Linked DNA regions of Drosophila melanogaster. The gene in region 1 interacts genetically with each later gene. Each region holds a gene or a part of one and is shown on either strand. Other genes may lie near its edges.

Region 1 (3,756 bases):
AATATGGACGCGCGCTTTTCCGAGCAGCGTTTAGCATTCGATTTCATTTGTCTAAACTAAATAACAATGCAGTCTGCGCTGCCACATTGGCGTTGCATGTTGCAGCTGCCAAAATTGAGTTTTGATGCGCTGCATACCCCATACCCCATACCCCATTTCCCATTTCCCGGCCTGCACTCCTACGGTCCACCAGTCCGGTCCTGTTATTGTTTGAAACGTCGCGTTAAATTTACATAAATTGATTTGATTGAATTTTTATGAGTCGGCGGCGCAGCAGTCCAGTGGCAGCCACCCAGGCATCCACTTGCACCAACCCATCTGGCATTCTGGATGCCCCCGTCGACTGGCCGGCGGGCATCAACTGCTGATGACTTTTCGACCCGCCCTCCGACGACTCACTGGCGATGGGAGGGGGCACGTGGGTATTGGGGATCGGAGGCGACCGTCTAATTAAAGTCATTTCCAGCAGCTGCATAACCCCTACACCCACAACGCCCACTCTCTGGGCCGTGGTCAAGTCGAGGTCACAGTTGGCGCTACATGGCGCAGGGCTTAATGCGAGCCATTTGGCCCGGTTGTCCGGCGATGGGCAACGGACAGGGGCAACGGACAAGGGACGACAACGGACACGGACGAGGGCAATCAGCGAAAAGAGAGGCGGCCAAAGGCAGAACCAGACACGGCACACATTGTGTGTACAACTTCTGCGGCGGGCAAAGAATGATGCACTGTGAAAAATAAAATGTGAAAGTACTTAAAGTTTCTACTGAAACTTTGAAGAGATTCGCTGACAGGCAGATTATTTTAAATTCCAAATAAGCTTCTTACTTTGTGCCAAGGACATTTAGGAACACAATTATCTCTTGTTTTTATATATAAATATTAAATATTATTTGTTGTTTCTTGAAAAAAAAAATGATGCAATGATTCCCCGCATTGTTCAGTGTAGTGAGTGCATTGCGGCATCGCTGGCATTGCATATTTTTAGGGTTTCCTCGCTGCTTGCTGAAATTTGCACATTGCAACAAACTATTTAGCGTTGGCAAGGGATGGGGGGCGCCAATTTGTCATAAATCTCGTTATTTTAAATCGCCGCTTGGCATTCCACGAAATTGTGTATGGGTAAATGGGCCTTTTGTTTGTATTGATTTGTTGTTGTTGGCTGCTCGCTTTGCTGGTTTCTGTTAACGTCAACGTTATCGGGCGACAACAGTTGAGGATAATACATACATACTATGTTGGGGGCTACGAGCACTATTTGAAGAGAGTCCAAAAATATGGGATATTATCGTAATTGGCCAAAAAAAAAAATTCCAAGTTCCTTAACATCGCTGGTTGAGTTTCTTAGCAAGGTGCTGAACGAAAGGAGAAAGTACGAAAAACGATCGCTAACTTTTTATTGGGTGATTAGCAGCGGGTCATTCAACGAGGCTCGTTGGTCTAGAGGTATGATTCTCGCTTCGGGTGCGAGAGGTCCCGGGTTCAATTCCCGGACGAGCCCAAGTGAAGAAGTAGTTTTTTTTTATTCAGCTGAAAATATGTCATGAAAATATGAATATTACACCATTTCATTGTGGAAATTGCATTTTCAAAGGGGTATTAATATTTTGCATAGTTTGCGAATTGTGTGCGAATCCAATGTGCACTTTAGTGGTCAGCCCAAAAGTATGCTGCATAATAGTGATCTTTTGTACACTGACGCCATCGCAGAGGCGCGCATTTCACAACACTGTGCCACAGCTGATAATTGCCGTTACATTTTGCCAGTGGCCGACACTTGAAGAAATTTACAATAAGGAAAATGCTATAAAAAATTTATTTGATATAACAAAAATACAATTACCAAACTATTTTTATGAGTCCAATGCATTGATTAGTGCATCTTATTTACAAAAGAGCTATTTTCTTTTGAGAACTTAGTAGCATACGATAGTTTACACGCCATAAAATGTTATTTTGTTTGTGTATTGCCAACACTGCCAACACTGCTAGAAGAAGACTCAGTAGCTTTCTGATCTTTCGCGGGTCATTTTTGTAAGAAAACTGTTGAAATCGAAGGAAACAGGAAAACATCGAAATGGAGTACCTCTACAACGCTAGTATGCATTGCGAAGATGAAGAACGCGTCAATTTCTACAACATGGACAAGTTCTTCGTGCCCCACGTGCAGTCGATTGAGCTGGAGCAGCAGGCGATCCTGCGGCAATACGTGCCCCAGTACGCTTATCAGTGGCCCTGGGGATTTGCCCCTTCCGCTTACAGTTATTACCAGGGATTCGGTAGCCTTAATGTACACACACACACAAAACTCCGGCGATGGAACCTTGAGTAATAACTATATCTTCTCCTGTCCCCTTGCAGATGATGACTATGGACATTACCAAAACCGAACCCGGTCTCGTCGGGCTTTCCTCCAACCAACAGCAGCAGCAGCAGCAGCAGTCGCAGCAAAGCAACGCCGGCATGAACAGCGGTGGCCAGAACAACGGGCCCAATCCCAATGGCAATGGGAACGTGGTCAATGTGGTCAACTCCGGCGGTGCCGGTGGCGGCAACAATGGCAACGGGAATGTCCAGAGCATCGCCGCCGCTGCCAACAATAATAACAATAACAACAACAACGGCAGCCAATTGTGCGCCGGCTGCGGCAAGCACATCCAGGACCGCTATCTCCTCCGCGCCCTGGACATGCTGTGGCACGAGGACTGCCTCAAGTGCGGCTGCTGCGACTGCCGCCTGGGCGAGGTGGGCTCCACGCTCTACACCAAGGGCAACCTGATGCTCTGCAAGCGGGACTACTTGAGGTTAGCTGCGATTTAAGAAATACTAAAACCATTTGATAGTGTAATATACCTAGAAGTATAATAGACGATGGTATTCATTAGTCATGTTAGAAGTTAAAAATGATACCAATTCTTGAGAACTCAGGTCTATAATGCTTATAGATAAAGTATTCATTATATTCTGTGACTTATTTTTAGTTTTATAAGACTTTAAGAAGCTTTCTTGCTAAGAGTAATTTATATTTAAACAGTACCTATTCTACCTAAAGCTTTTTTTTACGCATATTCAATTTAATAGCAAAGAGTAAAGATGTTTACTTAAAGAAGTCAGAACCATGTAAACCATATAAACTTCAAACTTTTTACTAATCTGTTCATAACTTTTCCCCGCAGATTGTTTGGCAACACGGGCTACTGCGCCGCCTGCAGCAAGGTGATCCCAGCCTTCGAGATGGTGATGCGTGCAAGGACCAATGTCTATCACTTGGAGTGCTTCGCTTGTCAGCAGTGTAACCACAGGTGAGCATCGAAAGGAATTTGGCCAAACTGGCCCATTGCCCCATTGTGGGGCAGACCATACATCATCCATTGTGTGGGAGAAGCGACTAAACGATTTCGCATGCATTTTTATGGGCAATTTGCACAGAGATTCGCATTGAAGGTGGCCACATGAATCCCTTTTTAATCTTTGGCCCATCGGAGCGGGCCCAAAGTGGCACTTGAAGTTTTATTAACGTGCCGCCAGACAGCAAATTGCCATCGTTTACAAGCTAACGGCTAAACAAACGGGGTGGGAAGAATGGCCCTTTAGTGTCATACGTTTTCTATGAAAACCGCATAAATTTCGCATTGAACAGAACGAACCGAACGAACCGAACCCTTTTGGGTGCCATCAAGTCAACGCCCAGCATTCCAAGGCCTCAAATATTTTATTGGACTTGGCCAATTCGTGAAATGTCACTCTGGAGAGCTT
Region 2 (3,756 bases), on another chromosome or scaffold:
AACTAGTGCACCATCCATTGCAAAAGATAACAAAGTAAGAACTTTTCTTTTCAAGCGACCTGACTTTCTTAAGGAATTTAAGTATGGGTTATGGGGCATGCCCAACTTTCTGAACGATTCTATAGTGACAACTGGAGTACCCTGTTTCCTGGAAATGTTAGACAAGGTTCCGGAACTCACGAAATATAAGCCGTATTTCGAAAAAATAAAGGATAACTACATTCAGCAGATGAGTGCAGTCATGGAAGAATATCGCACTAATCCGAAGCCAAATAGGTACTACGTGCTGTGTCACGGGGATTTTCATGGGCGCAACATGATGTTTAGGTATAACAAGGAAACAGGGTCTTTCGAGGACGTAATGCTGGTGGATTTCCAGATCAGTAATGTTTGCCCCCTTTCCATTGACCTAATTTACTCCATCTTCATGGTAATGGATACGGAGGATCGTTGGGATCTTGGAAAGGAATATATCAATTATTATTTCTCTGTTCTGGCGGACACTCTGAAAAAAATAGGCTTCAAAGGTGAAATGCCAACTCAGACAGGAGTGTGGGAGCATATTCATGGCCATAAGGATTACGGTAAGGAACTAAAATTGAAAGACAGCTGTTGACTTGTATGCTTATTCCTTGTTACATCGTTATAGAATTCTTCATGATGACCAGCTTTCTACCCCTGGTGGCTGCCATGAATACGAAAACATTTAAAAGTATGGATTCATTTTTTGATCCGCAAACGAAACAAAAGTCTTTCTTTTTGGATGAATACATTACGGATGTCAAGATGCTATTGCGAAAATTCGAAGAACTGGGATATTTTAAAGATCTTTAATCCGATTGTATAAAATTAATTGAAATAAAAAAATAACTTCACATTTACCTACATAATTGCACTCGTTATTAACAAACATATACGTGTAAAGTTGCATGCATTCAAGGTAAAGTTCTTTCCCGCTATTGATTTCGAAATTCTAAAAGAAACATTTAAAACATACATTTATTATTTTATTGCTTATATATATTTACTGAAATCCGTTTCTTGCGTTTACCAAATATGTATATTATTATTATAAATAAAATCTTGGAATTTGTTTTATTAATATTGCTGACATCATCATGACTTCACATCATGACGGATAGGGCTGTTAAATTATAAACTTAAAGTTGGCAATGTGTCATTCAGTAATCAAAAAAGTCATTATCCTAATCATGTTCGGAACACGATGTTAAAGAATAGAACAAGGAAACAGAGGTCTTTGTGGCAGTAGTGATTTCAAGATCAGCTACACATATGCGCTCCAATACCATTGTCCCAATTTACTCCAACATCAAACTGAAAAAAGTGGGCTTCAGGGAGATATGTTCCCTTCCAGGAATCTAAAAGCATATCCATGGCCATAAGGATTACGGTCTTACGTCTTACATTCTGTCAAGATGCAGTTTCGAAAATATAGTTATAGTGAAACAACATAGTTATTTTGAAAATCTGTATCACGATTGTATAAAATCGGGCAAACTTGAATTTAATTCGTCTTCAAACATTTGATAATCCAGTAAGCTGGACTAACATTAAACATTTTTAGCGTTTTATACTTCTTACACCTGACCTAAATATTATTTCATAGAACAGAATAAATATCTGATTTATTTGTAAGTTTCTATTGATCACAGTATTTGTCCTGTAGAACAGATTTCAATGCATATTGATAAGATCATTGAGTAGACGTATTTCACACAAAATCGAAAAGTTTCGTGTTAAAAGGTTCAAGCCGCTTTCGAAAGCTCACTTAGCCAGCCTTTATAATAAGTGGGCACATAGGAAGGTTTAGTATACCCAGATCAAACATCATTCCGAATTGTTTGTTGAGAGCGCGAAATAAAAATGCCAGAAAACGCAGATACCGAGCAATTTAATGCCGATGAGCTGGAGGCTCCTGCATGGCTGAATGCCCAGTTTATTACTGACGTTCTTAGAACCTACGAAAAGTGTCCGGAACTGGAGGTTACCGATCTTAAAATCACTCCGGCGAGTGCCCAGGGAGATCACTACGCAAGCGTAATGTTCCGTACTACTGCTGAGTATACCACTTCGAAAGGAAAGTTCTGTAAGCCGCTAATCATTAAAACGATGCCAGAACAAGAAGGACACAAGAAGGATATGCTTAGCGACTCACATTTGTTCTCCACCGAGATTAATGCTTACACTAAGGCTCTGCCCGAATTCGAGAGAATTCTCCGGGAGGCAGGCGACGATACAAAGCTATTTGTGCCCTGTATCTACCACAGTCTAGAGCCTCGGCAGGTGTTAATATTCGAGGATTTGGTGCCGCAGGGATACTTCGTGATCCGAGATCGTCCAATAAACATGAACGAATACAAAAATGTTTTCTCCAAACTGGCCAAATGGCATGCTGTTAGCATGAAAGTCTTGAATGAGCAACCTGATATCTTGAAAGACTTCAAGTATGGGCTAATGGAAATGCCTTCTATTATGTCGGATCCAATGGTTACTACTGGAATGGACAACTTTTTGAAAATGATGGACCAGATTCCTGAACTTACAAAGTACAAGCCACACTTTGAGAAAATAAAAGAGAACTACATACAGCGTATGGGTGATGTAATGCAGGAATATCGCAAGAACGTTCAATCCGATGGATACTACGTGATGTGTCACGGAGATTTTCATGGCCGAAATATGATGTTCAATAAAAATGAGGAGGTCATGTTTGTAGATTTCCAAATCTGTAACCTGTGTCCCATTACAATCGATTTGAGTTATTCTGTGTACATGCTCATGGAGCCAGAGCAGCGATGGGATCTCGGAAAGGATCTTATTAACTTTTATTTTTCGGTTTTGGAGGACACGTTAAAAAAAGTTGGCTACAAGGGCAAGATGCCGACCAATGATGGTCTGTGGAAGCAAATACACCGACACAAGTTTTATGGTAAGTGCCTATTTTATTTATCGCCTAGTTTCAATAAGCCTAACCACTTCAATATTTTTACAGACTTCTTCCTTTTAACCACTTTTTCGCCAATGATTGTGGCCGTTAAAGCGAATACGTTTAAAATACACGAGTTAATTCAAGATCCGGAAATCAGACAAAAATCATACCTCTATGACCCTTATGTTCAAGATGTCAAAAAGCTTTTGGGTAAATATGAGGAAATGGGATACTTTAACGATCTTTGATCTATTTTTAAAGCTATCAGTTAAAATGTGTATATATTGCATGGCTAATTGATCGCAACTATATGAACCATGTAATTTTTTAGGGTTTCCTTTTGCTTTAAATTAAATAACAAAACGTATCATCAAATTAAATTTTTCTTTTTTTTTAATTTGGGTGTAAAATACTCATGGAATATTTGTCTGGAAAGCTTACTGTATGTGGAAGCCCGAATACTTTTGATCGAATGTAACGCAATCTTCATTAGCCCTTTGTCACTATTCATCCAAGAATCCAGATAGCTCGAATTCTTTAATAGTTCGCTGAAGGAAAGCCCGATACTTGGGGTTTTCAACATTTTCCCGGCGGAAACGATCACCGCTCTCAGTGCGTGAGTTCAGATCCTCAAGGTTTTCGAAACCAGCTCCCTCCCTGAAGATCAGTGGAGTCAGGCAAGTGGCGCCAATGACACCTATAATGGTGGAGTCATTATGAAAACCAATATAGATAAATGGTGATGATGATCATACCCATAAGACTGGTCTTGATCAACTCGATGTGGATTTCTTTAAGAGTTGGAA

Evidence for each region. Genes that interact genetically often act in the same process or in processes that back each other up.
Region 2: of Bx (region 1) and CG11893, changing one enhances a phenotype caused by changing the other (phenotypic enhancement), as found in Drosophila melanogaster (one study listed by BioGRID).

Annotation. Positions count from the first base shown.
Region 1 is NC_004354.4:18,564,335-18,568,090, forward strand, and holds the start of Bx (beadex), read left to right. Parts: upstream 1-1,971; 5' UTR 1,972-2,077; coding exon 2,078-2,290; intron 2,291-2,361; coding exon 2,362-2,804; intron 2,805-3,176; coding exon 3,177-3,302; intron 3,303-3,756.
Region 2 is NT_033777.3:25,288,043-25,291,798, forward strand, and holds CG11893 (uncharacterized protein), read left to right. Parts: upstream 1-1,846; 5' UTR 1,847-1,884; coding exon 1,885-2,950; intron 2,951-3,013; coding exon 3,014-3,198; 3' UTR 3,199-3,324; downstream 3,325-3,756. Other genes in the region: CG13658 (uncharacterized protein), read left to right, coding at 56-584, 650-834; CG31098 (uncharacterized protein), read right to left, coding at 3,454-3,647, 3,706-3,756.